Diceros bicornis minor: one gene and its partners. The protein of the gene in region 2 interacts with the protein of the main gene of each other region in a pairwise test. Links are inferred from orthologs where the notes say so. Each region holds a gene or a part of one and is shown on either strand. Other genes may lie near its edges.

Region 1 (7,162 bases), on a different chromosome or scaffold from region 2:
GGAAGGGAGGGGTCTCTGCCGGCACCACGCGGTCAGCCCAAGGGGCGGGCTCCACTCGCGCACGCAACTACTCCCTACTCTTCCTTAGTTACCTCCCTCTTTCCTCCTTAAGGGTTGGGGCTGGGGGCTCACAGCTAATGGGCAGGAAAAATGAGAGCACGAACAGGAGAAGCCAATCTCACCCCTCAAGAAAACAAAACCAATGAGAGGGAGCAAAGGGTTATTTTCGCGCCACAAAAGATGGAAATCCAGGGGCGGCTCGGGGGGCCAATGAATGGAAACCAGCAAACGGCTCCGGCGGAGGCAGCCGACGATGATAGGCTTCCTCTGTCCACCAATCGGGTGAGAGAAAAAGCCCCCCCCCGCCCCCTCCCCAGCTAGGGGCGGCGTCTCTCTCCACGCCGGTTGCTCAACTTGGTCTCGGCGAGTCGGCCCCGTGGAGCGCGAAACCCCGCCCCGGGGCTGCGTTTGCGCGCCCTGTGCACCCGCCTCGCTGCCCAGCCCCGCCTCCGGCAAAGGCGCAGGGTTCAGCAAGGCTCCCGGGGGTCTTTCTCCGTGGGTACCGAGCATCCCCCAGCACCAGGGAGCCTCTTGCACGCTCGAAACAGGCCGGAAGTTCGGGAGGGTAGCCAAACACTCGCTGCTTGATCCGCCCCCGCGGCCCGCGGGCGGGCGCGCGCAGGGGAAGGACGACCTCAGGTGGAGTTGTGCTGTGAGGGGAACGATAGAGGCTCCCCGCGGCCCCCACGGCTAATTCGTCCACGCAGCTCCGCGCGGAGGGACAGAACCCGAGGCGGAGCCAGAAGGCGCCTGTCCCGCGGCAGGGCCAGGGCAGTCCAGTGGTCGAGGGCCTCCGAGGCTAGGAAGCGGACGACGAAGGATCTTCCCCAGTGTGAACTGCAAGGATCCCGCCCTCTTTTCTCCCGGCAGAGCCAGGGGAAAAAGGAAACAACCCCATCTTCTCATCTCCTGGAGCACTATTTTTGATTTTAAACAAAAATAACTGAAGGCATGTTCCGAAGAGAGTGCAGAACCAGGTTACCACTTATCACGCATCTGCTTTAAACAGATCAGAGTCCAGAAGAGCTGTTCGAAGGAACGAGAGGATGTTAAAAACACCTCCTATGAGGCCCAGGCGACGCGGCGGGCATTGTGTGCCCACCCGCGTTAAGGACTTAGGCTCTCGGCTGGTCTCAGAGGCAGCTGGGAGTTCGGAGGGGTAGCAACAAGAATGCCCTTTCCCCCTGCTCTACCTGCTCAACCTTCGCTCATAACCTGTGGATACAGCAACGGTAACCGACCTTCTAAACAGTTTTTCCTCTTTAATATTACACTGACCCATAAGAAACATTTTTATTGCCCTCAGGTCAGCAGAGAGGGAGGAGGTGCAGCTCTTCAAAGAGTAAAGAGGCTGCAGTTGGAAGGGCTCAGCCGCATCAGAGCACATACAATGGGTGGGATTCCTTCGTGGCGTTAACATTAATTAGGAGCTGCAACTGCTCCAGGACGAACCTGGAGTAGCCCATGTACATGGTTAATTTCTTATGTGAGACTCATTAAAAGACTGGAAGTTGGTTTGACCTTACATTCATTGTTGAAAATCCACCAAAGATATTTTTGTACTTGAAATGCCAGTAAAAAACAATTTACCCATGCTTTTTTTCACTCAGCCATTGAGTATATACTTATTCCTCAAATACTTGGAAGATTCGAAGTGGAGTAGACTGTATCCACCTCCTTTTTTGATATCTGAGCTTATATAACTCGTGTATGTTTTTAAGGTCCTAGATGGAGTATCCAATGTGTTACAATAATACACAGATTAAGTTCACAAGAGTCCCAGGAACATATTTCATCAAAATAGCACACACTTGTTTTAAATTCCAGCTGTTAGATTTGTTTGATAGTGACAGACAAGCAAGGGCTAGTATTTATGAAAAAAAAAAAACAAAACAATTTATCCCATGCTTTAGAAGTAGATATTTCTTTAGATCTCAGTTTTAATAAGAGCAAATAGTCAACAATCCAGAAAGCACCATTCAATTGACTTTGGAAGCAAGCTGAACGTATAAAATTTGTTCTTTTGAAAAATTACTAAAAGTTAAATGATCAGACTAGTTTATAAAATTTAAAGAGGCATTTAGAAAAGCAAATATTACTAAATGAATGAAAAGCATATTTCTCCAAATACCTTTTGATCACATGCAACAGGTACATGGAAAATAAATTCATAATTTTTGACATTTACATTTTGAATACCACAGAAGTCATAAAGGGAGAATACATATCTTTTCTTTTTTAGAACCAAAGTTCTCTTTTAAAAAAACATGAAAAAGGAAAAATAAGTAAGCTCTTTTAAAAAGTTAAACCTAACCATAAACTTAAAATTTTACCACCAAAATGTTCTTTCAAGATAGAGCTCATAATACAATTCTAAACATTATTACACAAGAACACGTTTGTCCCCTCCGTCTCAAAAATTAAAGACATTTCACTAAATCAAATGTGAATGAAAATATTGTGAAAGTGAGTTTACGTTTAAAAAGTTAGATTTGCTTGGCAGGAAAGAAAAACCTGTAAGAAAGAGCAGTTGCATTTAAAATGGATGATCTGACACCTTCCGGTTCCTTAACACAAAATTCTAAAATAAGTTCCTTTTAAAAGAAAAAATGTGTATACTCTTTACATCATGCAATAATTCCCACATATTTAAAACACTAATCTACTATTCATCTTTTAATTGGAAAATATACACTTTAAAATGCCGTGTGAGGGTTTGACAAAGGGAAAAGAACTATATCAATTGTCATAATTACTGAAGATGTTTCAGTGTAAATCTCCATATTTTTCTATTACACATTTTTCTACTAGAGAGCGTACCAAGACATTAAAGATTCTTGTTTATATTTCCATGCTATATAGAATTTCATTCACTTTTTAAAAATAAGCATTTTATATCTTTTCCATGGAATACCTGTTAAATATGCACCATAAGTATCTGGTGCAAATGAAGCCTTTGAGTGGAGTACACAATCATTAAACGACACTTGGAGATTTCCACAAGAACCCCAGCACGGCGTTCATTTCCGTATTCCTCGTCTCCAGTCCAGTCTGTTGGCCCAGAAGGCTCCACTGGGCCCAGACCCTCCCCCCAACACCCACCATTGTCCTCGTTATATACAGTACAGGGGAAATTATGAATGGTTCTCATGGCCAAATGTGGGCAAAAAAGAGGCAGAAAGAGACTCGAACAATATTTCAAGTGCGAAATACCACCTAGGGGTATCGCAGAGCAGTCTTCCTGTTTTAAGAGTCCCAAGTTCTCCAACTAAAATTCTTTAAATAAAAGTACCAGCCTACCCCACTCCTCCTCCTCTGGAAACTACAGGAAGAAATGGTTTCCGTTTAAATACCGACTTTTCCCACTCTGACTTCTCTTCTCCGGCCTCCGAGGCCCGGGACGCCCCCATACCCACGCCAGAAACCTCCGCCCCTGCGCTCCCCTCCCCCACCGGTGGCCAAGCCCGCCCCCGGCCTCATTTATCCCAGAGCCTTGTCTGAAGCGAGCAACCAATGGCAAACGCGAAGCCGAGAGCCACCGCGAGCGCAGGCGGAGGCGGAGGAGGTGTCGCCCAGACACCCGCCCAGGACGCCGCGGGCTCCCATCCCCCACCGCCCGGCTCGGGGCCGCCCCACTTCCCCGGGGCCCGGGCCCGTGAAGGGTGCACAGGGTAGGGCGCCTCTGCCGCTTCTCCCGCCCCCACCCACCGCACCCCACCCCCTCGCTGCGTTTCCGCCCCTGCAAGCCCTGGAAACGTGCTCGCGGCTTTGCCGAGGTTACACTTCTAATGTCATCAAAGCCACAAGGGGAGTTCGGAATTGTGACTCCTTGGTTTTGTTAATTACCTATTTTAAAAAATCGAATACGTATTTAAAAGTCCGGTAACTAGAGCTGAGAAATTGCCTAGTTAGCACCCCTACCCCTATCTCGTTAAAAAAAAAAAAAATCAATATTCCTCCCCTTTTCCTCCCCTCCCCCTCAGGATCCGCCCCGACCAGATAACCCTTTCTAAACTCTGTTGTGACAATCAGCTCCCGGAGCCGCGCTCCCCTCTGCGCCCCGGCTGCGGCTCCTTTAGCATTTTTTTGCCCTCTTCCTCCTTCCCTTCTCAGGGTCCCTCGCCCAATCTCATTTCCCCTCCCCCTCTTCCTCTTCTCGCTGGCTCTTTTTTCCCTCGAAACCCCCTCTAATTGAGGAGCTGGGATTCCTCACGTGAGACGTTGATTTGTAGTTTGAACACGTGGCTTATTCAAAAAGCCGGACACTCGGAGCGGATTTTTTCCGCCTCCTGCGCCTTCCTCCCTCCACCCCTCCTCCCCTCGCTCCTGCCAGTCACCCTTCGGGGTTTTTTATGGGGAGGCGGCGCCTGCCCTCACGTAGTGTGATATTTTCACCGTCCGCTGGCCTATGCCAACGGGGTTGGGGAGGAAGAGACAAAAAGTAGTTGACCCCCCCCTCCTCTCCTCCTTTTTCTCGATAATCCCGCCTCCTCCTCAGAGTTAGGAAGACTCGTTGATGCGTTTGGGTTGTAGCAAGGCTTTTTCTTTTCTTTTTTTTTTATATCTAGAGAAGGAAAAACAAGAACCCTTGGATCTGATTTTTCGCTCCTCGTTCTTGTCCTGGTTCTGACTGTGTTTGGGTATTTTAGCGGCGAGAAGACGAGGGGAACAAAACCCACCGGATCCATCCATCACTGTGGGTGGTTTTAATTTTTCGTTTCTCTCAATTTTTTTAAACAACCGCTCTTCACAATGAACAAACTGTATATTGGAAACCTCAGCGAGAACGCCGTCCCCTCGGACCTAGAAAGTATCTTCAAGGACGCCAAGATCCCGGTGTCGGGACCCTTCCTGGTGAAGACGGGCTACGCGTTCGTGGACTGTCCGGACGAGAGCTGGGCCCTCAAGGCCATCGAGGCGCTTTCAGGTGGGCCCCGGCCTGGCCCCGCGGGGCGCCTGCCCCAGCCCTGCGCCGCCCGGGCCTGCCGGGGTCGGGGGCCGGGAGCCAGGCCCGCGGCTGCCGCCGGGGCGTCCACACAGGGCCCGAGGCCCGGAGAGGGGGCGAGGCCCGGGCGCGCACCGGCGTGGGTCCGGGCGCTTTCCTCAGCGTGGGCTCGACCCGGCCCCCCGCGGCTCCCCTCCCAGCGCGTTTGCGGGCTAAGGGCCGACGCGCTGTCAGAAAGCGCCGGCGCCGGCTCCTCCGCGCTCGCCCCGCGCCCCGCCTGGGCCCGGGCGAATGCTCCAGGCTCCGGCACGCCGGGCCTTGGGGGCCGGGCGCGAACGCCGGCTTCTCCCTCCTCCTCCCTTCCTCTCTCTGCTCGTTACTGATGCCGTGGGGTTTGCTGCCCGCCGCCCGCCCCAGCCCCTGGCAGTGGGAGAACGTGGAGTGGCCTCGACCCCGCTGCGGAGTGAGGCCGCGGGCCGGTGCCTCGCGCAGGCGGCCCCGCGCTTCCTCTCCACCCGGCTGGAAGCGGCGAGTGCGACCTGGGTTCCTCCTTCTACCTCCCCGCGTCGGACGAGCGAGAGGGGCAGGAGGGCGGGGGCGGCCGGCGGTCGCCGGGGAGGGAGCCCAGCTGCGGTGCCGGGCGGCCCGCCGCTCTCCGCGCCCGGGCCACAGGCTGCGGCCTCCGGGGGTGGCGGGGCGCTCTCGGCGAGGGCGGGGGCCGGTGCGTGGCGGAGCGGCGGGCTGGGGCGGGGAAAGCTGCGCTCGGGGGCCCTCCAGGAGCCCCGTGCCTTTCGGGCGTAGTTTGTGCTCAGATGTCTCGGGGCGCTCGCTCTTCCTGCGCCTACCCTGCGGTCCTCGAGCCTTTCCCGCCACTCTGGTCCCGGCCGCCTTGAACCTGGGAGAAGGGCCCGGGCGTCCCCACCTGAAGAAAGGCACCGTAGCCCCTTCCCTAGGGTCTGTCTTATGGGAAGGCCCGGGGAGGTGGGCAGAGGGGCAGCGTACGTCCTGCGGGTGTTGTGGGGTTGGGCGACCCCCAGAGGTGGGCGGGGGAGGCCGGGGCGGGGGTAGAATGTTACCAAGGAGTGGGTCCGCCCATTGATCCCCCTCCCCACCGATCTGTAAGTTGCACACACACAGCCCTGAGGGTGTCTGCTTCCCACCCGTGAGGTGCCGGGCTTCTCTCTCGGCTTCGAGCCGCGTCCGGATGCTGTTCGGGGTCTCTGGAGGCCACTTGTGTCGCTGCTTAGGCTGTGCGGGTCTTTTGGGCCGGGAGAGCCACTAAACTCGGCCAACAGTCTTCCACCTCTTGTGTATTCGCAGGTAAAGTGGAACTGCACGGGAAACTCATAGAAGTTGAGCACTCGGTCCCAAAAAGGCAGAGGTGAGCTTATTTATTATGTTCTCATTGATTCTGTTCTCACTCTTTTGGGAGAAAAGACCCAACACAGCTGAAAACGACGTCTTTTCCTTTTATGCTTATTGGGTTTCTATATGGCTTGGCGTTTCTCGTCTTTTTCTCTTGCACTTAAGTTTATGGCAGGTGTCTGTGTGTGTGTGTTGGTAATACTGCAAAGAAATGGAAGGCTTGTCTGTGGCCCCTGCCACTGGATTGTTGTTATTGGTATGCAAGTCGCTCAAGGAAGCTCTCATAGCTAAATGTTATCCGGCAGAGTAGGTTAAGTTGCTACAACAGGAAATCAAAGTCTCAGAGGGCAGTTTTTGGGAATCTGTAGGAATTTGGAAGCAATGCGTAACCCCCTTCCACTTCTATAAGTACGGGATAGGCGAAAGCAGCTGCAGACACGCGCGGGGGTGGCGTGTCTTTCCTTCTCTGTCCCGAGTTGGCGGCGACGAGTCTGAGAGGCCTGGGAGGCCATCCGCACATCTGAGAGGAGAGGAATTTGCCTTTACCCTGTTAGCTCGATAGCCGGGATTGGAACACGTGAGTGAACGCCTGGGCTTCTCCTGCCCAGAAGCGCCTTTCAGTCACTCCAGAGTTTGTACAGGTTTCTGGTAATGCGCCTTGGTCTCCCGCTCCCCCCAACCCCACCCCACTGCCCCTGAAAATATTTTTGGTTACAAATAACCACCAAGAGATCGTGAACGCTGATTTGTGCCACTTAAGCCAGGGAATTGTACTTTTCGGAGAGCATGTGT
Region 2 (7,280 bases):
GGTTTTTCATTTTGATCCACCACAATTTTTAATTCATAGTCTGGTGTCTTCATCTCCACCTGGATCTCTGCACTAGAAATCTCTTCTATCAGACACCCTGTTTTGCCCGAAACTTGGTCTTTTGGCAGTAAAAGTTGAGGAGAGTGATCTGGATTGCTCACAGTACTACTTCTTATCTGTTCAAGGGTTAGTTCTTGATGAAAAAAGGGGGGAAATGAAATCACACAATTAATCAACAACAGAAAATACTAACAGGCTATGACCTATAATAGTGTTAGCCAAGATGGCAGATAAAACTGCAGCTAAATTAGTTTGGGAATCTTAAATCAAAAGAATCTTAAACCAAAGAATCTGGTTTAAAAGTATACAGGATTTAAAAATCTTTAAGGACATGCTAATATCTAATCTTTATATTTTTCTATCTTAAGTTTCTTTTAAAATCGAGAGTTCTAGTTTGCAAAATATACACAGGATGCAGAAAAATTTAAATCAGTTTAATTTTCAGTTTACATTCATTAACTTACCCTTTCTCATTTTCTCTCTTAAATCTGTGGGGTCAGTTTGGATTCCCATCAGATTTTGTTTCATCCTTTCAATGCTTCCTTTTATTCTAAATTTGGTAATATGGTAAGAGTGTGAGAGAGTGAATTGGAGTTGCTCCTCAATGCATTTCATGGCCATCCATATTAATTGATCTTTCTTCACTTGGTCCTTTTCTGCTGCCTGGAGAACATCAGGATTGTAGGCAACATCGATGACTGTGTAAAGATCTGTGTGTGTAGTTCAGAGGGTGTGAGATGAAGACAACTTGTTTCACTAAGGATATTGTCAGGTAATATATTAAGCCATAATCCTGATGAAGCTAGAGAGCATAAATTTTATTCTTGTATTTTTCAGAGGCAATCCTAACGGTGCTATATACACAAAATTCCAATTAGGGCATTTTGTGGCATTTTATATGGGTTAAAAACAGCTCATATTAATAGAAAAATTAAACAGTATTCAATTTGCATAAAGGTACACTTAGTCATTAACTACTTTATAACCAAATAAAATATTTTACTTGTAATGCCTTTTACCAAGTAAAATCTGGTCCATTCTTATTCCCAATAAAAATTTTTAAATGTGTTTTCTCTCCCATAATTCTGTGTACCTGATGTCTCAGATATATCTTCTGGTCTTCCAATACTTAGAGGTACTGGATGAGTGGTTGACTGGGGAGCTGGGATCCTTTTCCACTGACATAGGTTGATAAAAAGTATTTTTTCTTTTGGTTTCTAGAAAGCAAATAATTTTGCATATCTCAAAACCTAGGTTTTTGTTTTTAAATATCTTAAAGGTCACAGAATTTTAAGAGTGAGAATTTTAGGCTCCAAGTAAGTCATTCCATGTATTAAAACTGTGTTTGAGAAATTATACTGTTACCTGATTTCCCCAAAGCTGCTGGCTTTTTATCAAGAATCCAGTGGCTGCTCCCAGAGGAACTGGGAGGAGGAAGGGGAACTTGATCTAAGCAGCTGTTCCAGGTGAATTCGTTTGACCCTGTTTCACCACTTCCTTTCTTCCTCCACTAAATAAATTCTCTTTATTTGAAAAATCTCCAACTCTATGATTCTCTATTAAATCATCACATTACTCTTTGTTTTCATTCTAGCAGAAAAATAGCTCATTTTGAGATCTCCAAAATATATCAAACATGAATTTCCTTTTCTTACTCCTTCAAAACAATCTTCCACACTACTGTTTCCACTTAGAGTGGCAGTTTCCGTCAAGTTTTCTTGTGTTAAAGTAGCAATAGCTAAGGGTAAGCTATTCTCCAGTTATTTCAGGATCATTTCATTCATTCCCCATCCCTGGGCACCAACTCTACATACCAGGATCCTGGTTTGTAGACAGAGCTGCGGTTCTGGGGCAGCCCAGAGTTGTTTCCCCTCTTTCAATTGCTGTTGAATGAACTTCTCATAGCTCTCAGGATTACTTTCAGCCAGATCATCTAGGAGGTTCCAGAATTGAGTAACTTGGCTGAGCAGACCCTTTGAGGATGACTCCATGATTCCAGTGAATAGGCCTCTTACGTCTGTGGAAAGACTTGACTTAAGGGAAAAAAAGTCTTTGTAACTATTGATTCATTTCTTCTTTTAGGGGAGGAGGAATATGTCAGGAATTGTTTGGGTGAAGTTAGCAGCTATCCTTAACACCTGTGTCTGAAAAAACTGGGCTCAGCACCACTTTATCTTTTCCTTATTCTCTAATTATCTAGTAACCCTTCCTAAATTCTCAAGTTGTCCTCTCAAATAAGGCCTTACCTCTGCCTAGACCCTCACAAGCCCTGAGGGGACAGAGTAGTCATTTTAAGTCTGGACTTCCTGGTGATTTTCTCATTCCAGTACCTGGGCATTGGCTGACTGGTACCTATCCAGTCCTGAAATTGCCAGGGGTGTGTGTGGAGTGAGGGCCACATGCGACTTCCTCAATCCTCAGCACAGCTTAGTATTTAAAAGTATGGACTCGAGAGCCAGAACGCCTAGATTCCAATCGTAGCTCCACACTTACTAGGTGTGTGACCTTGAGAAATAATTTATATATGTGCCTCAGTTTGTTGTCCCCCAAATGAAGACGATAATACCTATCTCATAGGGTTATTGTGAGGATTAAGTAAGCTAATATAGAGAGGCTGAACACCTGGTTAACACTATATGCGTGTAATAATATCCTCTCTGACTGGAGATAACCTCCCTCGCACCCTCCTCCCTCACTGGAGAGATGTCCCACAGCATCCACAGAACGAGAAGAAGAGGAGGTCTGGGCTCTTCGAACACTATATTAGGATTAGACTAAATGGGAAACTTAACTAACCGACAACCATTCCGGAGGTCGCCCGACTCACCTCTTCTCTCAGTTCCTTGACAAACCGCTACACCTGTTACCAGGGTAACCAGGCTGGGTACAGCCTCTAATTGGGTCCGGGAAGCTGCAGACAGAAAGGTCTTTTTACATCCAGTTCCGGAGGGATCTCCCTCTTCTGATGCTGAGCTTGCTTTTCAGCTGAGCCCGACCCACTTCTTTTTCAGGAAGGCGCCCGTCTCCCTTCTGCACCTGTCGACCTCTAGCGCGTCCTGGAGACCCTCCCTGTGGGAGTCTTTTTGGGTCTCCTGTTGGTGGGAAGAATTTCTCAGGAGCACGACTTCCGGCCTGAAAGGGAAGCCTGCTTCCTTTCCTCCCAGACCGCTTCCTCCCCCCACCCCCGCCACGCGAGGCTGCGGCGCACGGTATGGGTGTGTTTGTGTGCATTTGTGTGGGGAGGGCGTGTGGAGGGAAGGTTACCGGGAGCTCTGTGGCCCCAGGGGAGCAGGGATCCCGGTGACAAAAATGGGGGTATTTTCTCTGTCTTCCAGTTGGAAGACTCAACTCCCCCTTCAGGCACTTTAGATACTTCTTGGGACCCAGTGGACGGTCATACCCTTCCAAAGCGTCCCCATCCTTTCTGGGGAGCGAAACCCACCCCCTGGGTCCGTCCCAGAGGAGCGTGAGCGGGGCATGCCCCAGCCGCCCCGACCGTCCGGATCCCTCGCCGGCGCAGCCTCAGGCCTCAGTCCGGAGAGGTACCTGCTGTCGGCCTGGGCTGGGGGAAAGGCCGCCGCGGCCTGGGCCGCGGGTGAGGGCAGAATAACCGGTGGGAAGGCTGCGTTTTCACGAAGGACTCGGGTGAAGCTGCAGAGCTGCCTTTGAGCCCTGACTCCTTGGCTTCCTGGGTCGGAGGAGATCTTGTAATGGAGTGGTTCTTCGTCTCACACTAACAAGATGCCTGATTTCCTCAGGATCGAGGGGTGAGTGAGCGGGGGGATGGTTGCACAAAGCCCCTGCTAGTGCACACGTGAATATCCCTGTCAAAATAGAAAATAAAATTCCCCTAGGTGGAGAAATTGAGGGCATCTCTGCATTCGATGTTTTTCGGCGTCGGTTTTTGTTACTGTTGACATTTGTGGTCCCTGACACTCTCAAATCTAGGTATTTGCTTCATCGCAAACTAATTTTGGGATGCGAGAGTTGATTTCTAATCAGGACCTTGTTTGCTTTGGGCTGTGTGGCCTGGAGCAAGTTATGGCTTGAAGGAAATTTCATCCATAAAGTAGGAATGAAGATACTTGCTTCATATAAAATATAGAGTTATTTTGAGGATTAAATAAAATGATACTTGCTTTTGAAAGCACTTAATTTTGTGCAATTTCAAAGAACTCCAGTGTACATTATCTCCTTTCATCCTCACATTAGTGTGGTCAGGCTTTTTCCCCTTGTAATGGTGAAGGAAAAACTGTTCCTCAGGATCTCTGACTTCGAGTTCAGTGATCTTTCCTTTACCTTATGCTTCTTTATAGCATTGTAATAAAAGACAAGGTGTTAAAGGGAATTTTTATTATTAAATGTTATTTATTGATTCATTTCAGATTGAAGAATGTCCCGGGTTCCATTGGGGAAAGTCCTCCTGAGGAATGTCATCCGGCACACAGATGCTCACAATAAGGTGAGAGGTAGAACCTAGTTATTCCTCAGCATTTAATGAGGGCATGCAGTGTGCCAAGCATTATTTTGGTACAGTTGGGAGATACAAAAGATGAATAAAATAGATAATTATAATACTATTTGATAAGTACTTAGAGACGTATACAAAGTGCTTTAGTGCACTGAGGAAGGAATAATGAAATCTGCCTTGGGGAATTAGGAAAGGCTTCACAGAATGGGTGGTATTTGAGCTGCTGCTATTTGGACTAGTTCTTGATGAACAGGTTCAAGTTTACCAGGTGTAAAAGATCATTCCAGACAGAACACCATGTACTAAGATGGCAACAAGAAAGAGCATGAAGCACTTGGGGCATGGCAAGAAATTGTGTGCATCCAGAAAATAGGGAATGTGGGGGATAGTGACAGAAGATGAGGCCCGAGTGCTAAATTACAGTTGGATTATGATGCTTGGAGATTAGACTTTCTCCTCTAGGCAATAAAGAAACCATCAAATGATTTTAAGCAGGATGTGACATAATTGCATTTGTATTTTAGAAAGATGATTTGTTAGCTGGGTAGGGGTTAGATCAGAAGGGTGAAACAGTAGAGAGATCAATTAGGAGGTAATTACAATGTTCCAGGTGAGAGATAATGAGGGGTTCACATGAAAGCAGTGATACTAGGGATGAAGATGAGGAATTTAGGAGATAGACTCCAAAGAACTTGGTGACTTATTGGATGATAATGATAATTATAGAATCAAATATAAACACCTTGTGTTATATATATTGACTGGGTGAATGATGATGCTATTAATTGAGATAGGGAACAAAAGAAAAGGGACAAGTATGATGGGAAAGGTAATTAGTTTGCTTTTGAATATGTTGATGGTGAGGTGCTTATAGGATGTCCAAAGAGTTGGAAATTCAGACTTGGAGGAAAGGAGAAAAGTTGAGGCTGGATGTAAAGGTTTGGGGATTATTGATATACAGGAATTGATAGAGGTCATGAGAATAGATGAAGTCACCTAGGAGAGCACATATGATGAAAAGAGGGCCCAGAATCCTTGTTTGGTTTTCTTTGGTGAACTGTACAACTCCTAGTTTGATCATAAGTGTTATTACTATCATATCTCCTGATATTTTGATTGTGAGTGAGGGTATAACTGTTACCTAAGCAGCCTCTGTCATCATGTTAAACCACCCCTGGTTGGATAATGAGCGTAGATTTGAAAGTGGGGGCTAAAAGAGATAAATCTACCACAGATTTAACAAAACATTACAGAAAGACTTAGAAATAAAATGTATTCTTGTTTTTGGGCAATTGTAATTTGCTTTTCAGGAAATTCTCTAGCAGTTCTCATTTGTTCTATTTTGTTTTTAACAAAAATTATAATGTTGTGAGAAGAGACTTAGCCTAGAAAGTTTAAAGACCTGTCCTTACTAGCTTTTTGACTTTGATAAAATCTCTGAGCTTTTGTTTCTTCTCAATAAGATGTAATAATGGTACCTGCTTTGTTTTCCTCATAAGATTGCTTAAGGTTCACTTGAGGTGATACAATTAAAATCACAAAGCATTTTAGAAACATAAGGATTATCATTTGCTAATTGCAGCATAACTGCAAAATTTATAAGGTAGTAAGTGTGTCTATGCAGGGGTTAAAAAGTTCTGTTGCTGCAGAATTCTACATATTTGAGATTTACTGCGTCAGATTGTTTAACCACTCTAGAGAAACCAGAATTTGCTTCCCACGTTCCTGATTGTAACCCAGTCTGTAATCCAATAATTAGTGCAGACCATATTTTCAATTACTTTTCTGTGTTATTTTTGTTAAATTATTTTTATTTCTTTCCTTTTAAAAAAATCTAGATTCAGGAGGAATCAGATATGTGGAAAATAAGAGAACTGGAGAAGCAGATGGAAGATGCTTACCAGGGGACCAAAAGGAAAATGTTACCCAGCAGTTCAAGGTGAAGTTGCAGCTCTGAGAACCATAATAATTCTCATCTTAGTCAGAGTCATCACCTTTTGTTTAAAAACACTTCAGTGTGCTTAAGATAGATGAATTCAGTTCAGTGAGTCCTTAAGCCACCTCTCTTTCATAAATCTAGACCCAAGCATAAAGGTAATGGCTGTGATGCATATGGCCTCGTTCTTTGTACTTGTTTGCAATGGAGAATTTAAAAATTCTGCCTTGAACAATTCTAAACATCTAGGATTCTGTGAATTCTGACTTAGCCTGATGGCTTTTAACTCAAGATTTTCTATTGGTATCTTATGGTCACTTAGCTGATCATTCACTCCCTTCCCCTATTAGTCTTTCATTCTCTCTCTCAGCCTTTTTTTTACCCCATCTACTTACTATCTTCGCCAAGTCACACGGCCTTTCATATTACCTTCTTAATAATTTGCATCTGAATATGAAGGATTATGCAGGCTTTGTTATCTTACCTGTGGAGGTATAGGAACGTCTGAGTATTGGGGACATCTCTTGAGCCTCATATGCCTGTTAGTTTAGAGCTGTGTGTATGAAAAATGACTATAAAATAATAATGCTGATTTCTAAAGCCACCCAGGGAAATAGTTAATAGTTAAGATATTTAAGGAGAGTGAGTGTGCCTGCAGAGTATGTGGACTTTGGGGTGTGACTGGCTGTGTGTGAAGGGTTTCAGACAAGAAAGTATTCTTGGTATCCACGGTAAAGAAGGCAGAGTCTCAACACAAAAATAAATATCTTTTCAGTCTGTTTTCTGAAAAGATGGTCCTTTGAGAATTTAGAA
Region 3 (7,943 bases), on a different chromosome or scaffold from region 2:
ATTGTAGTCTGAATCCTGCTTTAACGAAAATACAAACAGCATTATTAACATTACTAAGTTAGAACACCTCTTACCAGAGCAGAAACTGTGAAGTCCCTGGCATGCATTTTCTCAGTGAGCCAGTCCACCTTGCGCCTTGTATTGAGAAAAATAACAGCCTGCGTAATCGTCAGTGTCTCATACAAGTCACAAAGTGTATCCAACTTCCATTCCTACAAGATTTCATATAGAAATTCAGCAGTCACTAAAATAATTTAGTTTCCAACTTACATTCATTAGAAATTCATCTATTAAGTTAATCTAAGGACATATTGCACCAAATCTTAAGACAAAGGACACTGGACATTAAGAAAGAGGTCCACCCCAGTCTTTACAATCCAGTGCAGTTACTTTTCTTCTTGTGTATACTCTGCTAGCATTATTACAAAAACCAAGATGTGATCCTAGTTTCTGCAATTTTAGCACAGTGCTTATACAAGAAGGATAAAAAAAAAATCTGGCTAACATTTTTATGTTAATTAAATTACCTCTCTTTCAACATTAATATAAAATTGTTTGATTCCTTCAAGGGTCAATTCTTCCTTTTTCACCAGAATTCTAATTGGATCTCTCATGAACTTTTTGGTCACTTCCAACACATCAGTTGGCATTGTGGCAGAAAGCAACACAACCTAAAAAAGACAATGATTATCTGTCAAACAAGTAATTATCATAATATTCAATTTCACAATACTCAAAAAATGTTTGAGACCAAGCGTCTGTCTTACTATGGAATTGTGCTAGACAGAGACAGTTATGCATCAATTGCTTTAAGCAGGGGGAACGACAATAAAACACTTCAGTTGTATTGTAACAGTACCTGCATTAATTACACCTGACCTCCGCTATAGGAGGGAGTGAAATAAAGCTCACCTGAATACTTGTATTTAATTTTTGGAAAATCTCATAAATTTGATCCTTAAACCCTCGGCTCAACATTTCATCAGCTTCATCCAAAACAAACATTTTGATCCATTTTGGAGCTGTTAAAAACAAAGTCATACTATCATCTCTCGATTCTCAGGAATAACATTGGAAATTTTTAATTTTAGCAATAGTAAAAACAAACTACACTCTCAACAGACAGCAATACTTACAAAGGTATCTTCTGTTTAACATATCAAACACTCTCCCTGGTGTACCAACAACGATATGTGGTGCTTCAGCCTGCAGTTTTTGCATTTCATTTCGAACATTGGTTCCACCAATGCAGGCATGACAAGTTGCTCCCATATAGTCTCCAAGTGCCAGAATTACCTTTTGGATCTAAAAAGCCAAAAGCCTTAATTATCATCCAACAGAATTACAAGCTCTGTGACTAATCTTCCAAAGCATAATGGCAAATATCTAGTCTGCAAACAGCTTTTATGCATGCACAGCACTCAACTACTTCCAAGCTTAAAATGCAGACTGATCCAACTGCCTCAAGATAAAATTCCCTTTACATGTCTTTTCTTGTGCCTTGTCAAACTTGGGATCCTGCTGCCCCAGATACCACCGAGGTTAAAGAACGAAAAACATTTCCTACATTTTCTCTTCATTGTGTAGGAAGATGCAAATAGCAAACAAGCTCTGCAATTACAGCTAGGACAAGCTGTTGATACTTTCAATTTTTCCCACAAGGTACTGTGACTTACATAACCTTGATCTTAAAGGAAAAAAGCGCCTAATTTTATTAGCAAGGTTTACTTCAAAGCCAATATAGCAGTGAGCTTTGAAAACACAGCATGCAACAGATGCATCACAAACTACTGAGACAGTCAAATGATAACATGTCACTGCAGTTTTCATGTTGCACAACTGCATTCAAACTCAAAAATGGGAACAGATCTAGTCCACCCTGGATAGCAAGCTTCCATTTCTCAACATTACACAACGCTGAAAAACATACCTGCACACCCAGTTCCTGCTGAACTTTCAATAAAAACTCCCTGCATGCATGGGTAGTTAAAAGGAGGACTCTGACAGGACCAATTTATACTAAGTTGTAAATTCTTCACAGTTGTGAAACCTGAAACCTATGCAACACGCAAGCAGTTTTTTTGAACTACACTATCAATACCTGTTGAGCCAGTTCTCTGGTGGGGGCCAATACTAGTGCTTGGGTCTCCTTGAACTCAATCTCCAACTGTTGCAGGATGGAAATAGCAAATGTGGCTGTCTTGCCAGTACCTGACTGAGCTTGAGCAATCACATCATACCCTAAAAAAAGTAGGATACATATTTACCGATCCCACATCAAACCGTCACTTCTAGTTCACACCATGTATTCCATTTGGAACATGAATTATGCCCAAATAATCAAGTGATCAGCAATGAGTATTCTCTTCATTTCAGGTCAGTCCCGAAAGATGATTGCCATCATTTCACTTAAAGGAATACAAACAGGTGCTAGTCCCCCAGAAGTTATCTCCCCTTTTATGGTCCAGGTCTATGTAGGACACTGAATTCATTTTTTAAAAAGTACCGAGTTCTTTTACCTTTAATACAAGGAATAATAGCTCGCTGCTGAATAGCTGAGGGCTTCTCAAAACCATAAGCATAGATGCCCCGAAGAAGAGACTCCTTTAAATTCATATCATCAAAGTTATCAACAATCTCATTCCAGTTGCTCTGCAAATTTAGAAGAAAAAAAAATTAATGAATGAGACGAACCAACTCACCTTTACAGAATTTCAAAATCCACCCACATCTCTTACCTCGATGACACCATCGGGGTCCATTCCCTCTGGGCCGCCATGTTCTCTGCTGACAAGAATAGTTCCGTTAGAGCACATCCCTGTCCCAAGCCAACTTAAACGGCACATCAGGGGGACAGCGCTTTCAGCACCTGTCACATCAAGTTAGCCTCCCCCGCACGTGTGCACTTCCTGAAAGAGCAAAGGAAGCTGGCGGTGCAGGGCACGTAACGTACCGGGCCTGCCCAGAGATTGAGCACCAGGGACGGCCAGAAAGGCCCCACGGACACCGGCCCTTCCCCCCAGGCCCGAGCGCCCGGCGCTCCCGTCTCGGCGGCGGCCCGTCTCGCGAGAGCTCCACGAGCTGAGCTCCGCCCCCTACACTGCGCAAGTCGGGTGATTGACGCGGGCCGAGGCCTGGCGAGGGCTATGCCAACGGTCCGCCAGGGCTCCGTCGCGGCGCGGCCCCATCCGCCTTCTGCAGTGGCGAGTAGGCGCCGCTGTCACCTTCCCCCGCCCCGCCTCAAGTCTAGGACCTCAACTCGCGCTGCTGGCCGCCCTTAAACCCTCGGCCCCGGTTACACTGCACCGAATGCGGGCTGCGCCACGCCTTTAACTAAACGTCGTGCTCCGCACGGGCAGGGAAACTGCAGAGACTTCAAAGCATCTTCAGGAGGAAAAATGATACCTTTAACCACTCCGTTTCCGTAGACTCGTTTCGTCTCCCCGCAATCCAGGCCCCTACCCACCGTGGAAGCTTCTCGAAGGACACAGGGGTATTGTACCCCAAGAAAACGCCTATGAACCCAAAGTTCCCTGCCTCCAAGCCATCTACTACAGTCTCCTCTGCAGCCGTATGACCCTCACCACAAAACACTACCGAAAAATAGCCATACCTGTTATAATCCGCGGAGCCACCAGACATGATCCGGAGAACCACTCAGCGCCCGACTGAAAAGACAGCAGGACCTCGCCGCCCGTTTTTTATAGGCTCGCGGCCGGAACCCGTTTTCTGCGGAGGAATTGACTCGTCGCCCTTCGGTCAGCCACAAAATTGTGACCCTGAGGTCCTTACCTCAGAAAATACCCCAAGCCTGTCGGTGGGAAAATCCAAATTTGGTTATTTCGCAATATTACAGGGTCGCTGGAAATCCCAGGACCCTGCGGGAAGTTTGGGACTCTTTGCATTGCGGCGGAAGAATATTGCAGCGGGCTGAAGCCCAGCCCCCGTTCCCCGCCCGCCGTGCTCCTACGGGGTTTCCGCGTCCCCGACGCAGAGGCGGCGCGGGGAGCCGAGCGGGACCGGGAGGCGGAAGGAAGCTTGAGGCGCGCTGGACGGCCGGACTTCCCAGCGGGCAAGTGGGACCGGTCTCGCTGTTCGCACCGGCGCTGGATGCCGCAGAGGCAGGCACGTCCGCATTCTGCACGGAGGGGAATCGCGTTATTCCGCTTGTTCCCGCCGCTGGTTAACGTGATGATAAAGAGCCGCCTGGCCTTTAGCCCGCGGGCTTAACATGCATTAAGGTCTTGAAAGTGTGCAACTCCTGCTCGGGGAAATGCCGGCCACCCAGCACGTCCCAGAAAATCTGGTTTACCAGACATTGTGCAGGGCGAGAAAAAATGTGTAGTGTCGTGTGGAAAGATCTCTGGAGTGGCCAACTCTATTCTCCTCATGTTGCCTCTGGTCTTGCTTTTTTAAAAAATGCTAATAATTTTAACAGGTGTAAGGAATGCCTGATAAAATCATTGTAAACTTTTGCAAATGGATAATACTAAGGAGGAGTAATTTTCCTTGTAACACAAGGTTTTAAATGGATGCTTCTGGCAGATACAGCTCCTTGCCGCTTTGGGACCCATCTAGTCTATATTACTCTTTTTTTCTGGTCTATATTACTTATTTTTTTTCAAAGCACTTTGAGTTTTAATTGCCTATATATAATGAATGCTGATTTATCGAAATTGAGAATACAACCCTTGCTGCTTAAATAAACTGCATGATTCTTTAAGCCCCAGATGTTTTCAACTGTAGCCCTAACCCAGGCCCATTGATAAAAACAAAACAATATTTTTAGTCATTAAACTTTAAAATACAATACTACCCACGCTGCAAGATATCATCACAAATACTCAGAAAAACATCTTATTAATTCAGAAGACCAACCTAAAGTCTGATAACTGGAAAAACTAACTTAATTTTCTATATTTGTATATTATATTTGATATGATATTTGGTTCTAAATACCACATATATTTTTTTCAAAATACCATTTATTTATTTGAAAATTATTATCGTGCCAGGAACTGTCACAAAAACTAATACCAAGAGATAGAGTGGACTTGGCTGTCAGTGATGCTGCTCCTTATCCCCCTGTAATGTTCAAATCCATATTTGAGGTAATACCAGACATTTCGGAGAATGGCAGTTAGGGATCTTGATTGTCTCGTCCAAAACCTACTAAAACTCTCCTGGGAATCTGAGAAACTGGAGAAAATATTAAATCAGAAAAGTGACCAACCATTTAGTCTCACTTGAGTCCTTAGGGTGAAATCAATCAACAATTAACACCTAATTGTTGAGTGTTTTCTTTAGGTTTAGCACTACTGCTACATGCTGTGAGGATTTCCAGAGTTTCTTAAGAGGAAATAATCAAGGGCTAAACTCTGGTTTATGTCACAATTGCTGAAGGGGTTTCAAGGTAAGAAAGCTTCATAGCCTAAAATCCAGTCAAAATCCAGACCCACATTGCCTGCAACTCTACAATGTATTTCTAATAAACGCTGTGCTTACCATGTTGCATACACTTACTAAATACCATTAATAAGTAATAAATGAGTTAAAGATCCAAAACATTCATATTAACAAAGTTTTGCATATCGACAGACACAGAGCATACACTTATGGTTAATATAAACTTTTCTACTTACCTGACATCTAAAATTAGATAGCCTTCTCAAAGTCAAGTATAAGTGCTTCTTTGCCAACCTGGAGCAAGTGAGGCCTAAAATTTATACTGCAAATGATGCTAAAAATCAGATTCTTTCCTTATGTGAGCCACCTAGTCTAGTTTTTTTTTTTCTTTAAATGAGGAAGATTAGCCCTGAGCTGACATCTGTTACCAATCCTCCTCTTTTTCCTGAGGAAGATTGGCCCTGAGGTAACATCCGTACCCATCTTCCTCTACCTTATGTGCGGGACGCCTGCCACAGCATGGCTTGATGAGTGGTCCATAGGTCTGTGCCCGGGGTCTGAACCCACAAACCCTAGGCCTCCAAAGTGGCGTATGTGAACTCAACTACTACACCACCGGGCCAGCCCCACATATTTAGTTTTGATCTTCAATAGCCTCAGCTGACAATTCTAAACCCATCTAGCAACTGTAAGCCAAGGTTCGCCAGAAGAATCAAGGAATTAGTACAAATTTGTTAGTATGACATGGAAAAACAATAACAAAACCTTGAGTATGCTTTATGCTGCTAGTGACATCTTCCTATGGAAAGTACCATGTATTCTCATTCAGGGGGTATTGTGTGCCATCTTGAGGTTCTTACATTATTTTAAGTCCATGAGTTGATATTAAGTGATAGCTACCCATTTAAAGCAGTATCTTGATAAGCTATTGATATGCAAAAGTTTGTGAAGGTATGTGTTTTGGATCTTTAACTCATTTATTACTTATTAATGTCATTTAGTCAATAATGTCAATAATAATAAATTATTAGTAGTAATACCATAGTAAAAACACAGTATAATATATGCTGTCCCTTCATTTATAATTTAAATGTTTAAAAAGAATTACTTTGAGCTGGATAGAGACTGTAGTGCTACTCACTTCTTTATTATTCGGTTGCTAGAGGAAATTAGAGGCTAGATTCTGCTTGAATATAAGCAGTGTTCTCCAAAGCAATTAGGAAAGTGGCACTCACAGCCACATTTTTCACAATGACTTTTAAAACCATTTGTATGAAGATAAGTAAAGACGTTAATAGCGTTGAAGTAAATGGAGAAAATTGAGGAGGACTGTGGAAGGGACTGTTGAACTATATAAGGACTGGGTTTAAATCCATTAATCCAAGGTTATTAAACTCTATTGTGGAACCAAGATATGGAAGTTTTTCTAGCTCCACCCTTGTGAAGAGTAAAGTAAGTGTACATTATTGTACTTCAAATCAGTACATCTAAAACTGTGGTATGCATAAAAATCAATGGGGAGATCTATTTGAAATGCAGATACATGTGAACTCAGCCCTCCCATTCAGATTCAGTAGATCTCATCTGAGGTGGGGCCAGCTTTTATTTTGCAGAATTCTAGACCTGAAAAGAAGTTCCAAGAATAAAGTAATGAATACCAAATGTTTGTCACGCTTACCAATTGTTAACAGTTTACTGCATTTGCTCTCTCTCATATTTATCTGTGACTTTTTCTGAACTTTCTGAAAGTTACGGACATAGTAGTGACCACTCCTAATCAGCACTACATCCTAAAAACAAAGATGTTCTCCTTTACTAAAACCACAAAAATATTATACCCTGCAAATGTACTATCGATACAATAATATCTACAAAACTATGTTCAACGTTTCTCAGGTGACCCAATAATGTTTTTATAGCCTTTTAAAAAAAGAATCTAGGATCCAATCAAGGATCGCACATCATATTTAGTGGTCCTGTCTCTTTAGTTTCTTTTAATCTGGAACAGTACCCCTGAAGCCGGGTACCTGAGGGTTACTGTAAATATTGAATAAGATTACCTTGTTATGAAAAGAAGTTAATCTTGTCAATTTCCTGTTTTCCTGTTTAACCTGAGGGGTAACTCAAGGGTCACAAGGATTTATGAGCTTGTTTTACAGAATAAAGAGAATGCCTTCAAGGACCACCTGAGAACCAGCCCCAGCTGCCATTGATGCCCAGAAGTCACATTGCCCTGGGGTTTATCAGGAGTGAAAGAAACACGGATTATTCCCTTTGCTTCTCTAAAACTCCTCCTGCCACACCCCTTACCTCCATAAAACCCCCTGCTTGCTTCTCTTGTTAAGGCAGATTTGAGAGAACCTATACTCCTACCTTCTCATTTTTGTCAATTTGAATGAACACTTCTCCATCTCCAAGCACCAATGTCTCAGTGATTGGCTTACTGGGCATCGGGCACATGAACATGAGATTAAGAGGTTCAGGATCACCTCCCCTTTGGAAAAGACTTTTTCTCATCAGAAATTCTATTTCTTATA

The links. The genes of interacting proteins can lie anywhere in the genome.
Region 1: the proteins of PIH1D2 (region 2) and IGF2BP3 interact in a two-hybrid assay, tested with the Homo sapiens proteins (2 studies listed by BioGRID and IntAct). The two-hybrid records come from large-scale screens. The link is inferred for Diceros bicornis minor from reciprocal best matches to the Homo sapiens genes PIH1D2 and IGF2BP3.
Region 3: the proteins of PIH1D2 (region 2) and EIF4A2 interact in binary tests that used the Homo sapiens proteins (3 or more experiments, as listed by UniProt). The two-hybrid records come from large-scale screens. The link is inferred for Diceros bicornis minor from reciprocal best matches to the Homo sapiens genes PIH1D2 and EIF4A2.

Annotation. Positions count from the first base shown.
Region 1 is NC_080742.1:48,762,397-48,769,558, reverse strand, and holds the start of IGF2BP3 (insulin-like growth factor 2 mRNA-binding protein 3), read left to right. Parts: upstream 1-4,154; 5' UTR 4,155-4,812; coding exon 4,813-4,987; intron 4,988-6,325; coding exon 6,326-6,386; intron 6,387-6,394; exon of another isoform or gene 6,395-7,162. UniProt on the Homo sapiens protein: RNA-binding factor that may recruit target transcripts to cytoplasmic protein-RNA complexes (mRNPs). This transcript 'caging' into mRNPs allows mRNA transport and transient storage.
Region 2 is NC_080746.1:24,219,098-24,226,377, reverse strand, and holds the start of PIH1D2 (PIH1 domain-containing protein 2), read right to left. Parts: upstream 3,004-7,280; 5' UTR 2,888-3,003; intron 2,094-2,887; exon of another isoform or gene 2,078-2,093; 5' UTR 2,052-2,077; coding exon 1,875-2,051; intron 1,278-1,874; coding exon 1,154-1,277; intron 771-1,153; coding exon 525-770; intron 194-524; coding exon 1-193. Other genes in the region: uncharacterized protein NKAPD1, read left to right, coding at 4,454-4,522, 6,370-6,470.
Region 3 is NC_080754.1:37,266,132-37,274,074, forward strand, and holds the start of EIF4A2 (eukaryotic initiation factor 4A-II), read right to left. Parts: upstream 3,009-7,943; 5' UTR 2,847-3,008; coding exon 2,739-2,846; intron 2,653-2,738; coding exon 2,520-2,652; intron 2,412-2,519; exon of another isoform or gene 2,343-2,411; intron 2,242-2,342; coding exon 2,102-2,241; intron 1,306-2,101; coding exon 1,137-1,305; intron 1,023-1,136; coding exon 913-1,022; intron 866-912; exon of another isoform or gene 741-865; intron 672-740; coding exon 528-671; intron 485-527; exon of another isoform or gene 307-484; intron 213-306; coding exon 75-212; intron 22-74; exon of another isoform or gene 1-21. UniProt on the Homo sapiens protein: ATP-dependent RNA helicase which is a subunit of the eIF4F complex involved in cap recognition and is required for mRNA binding to ribosome.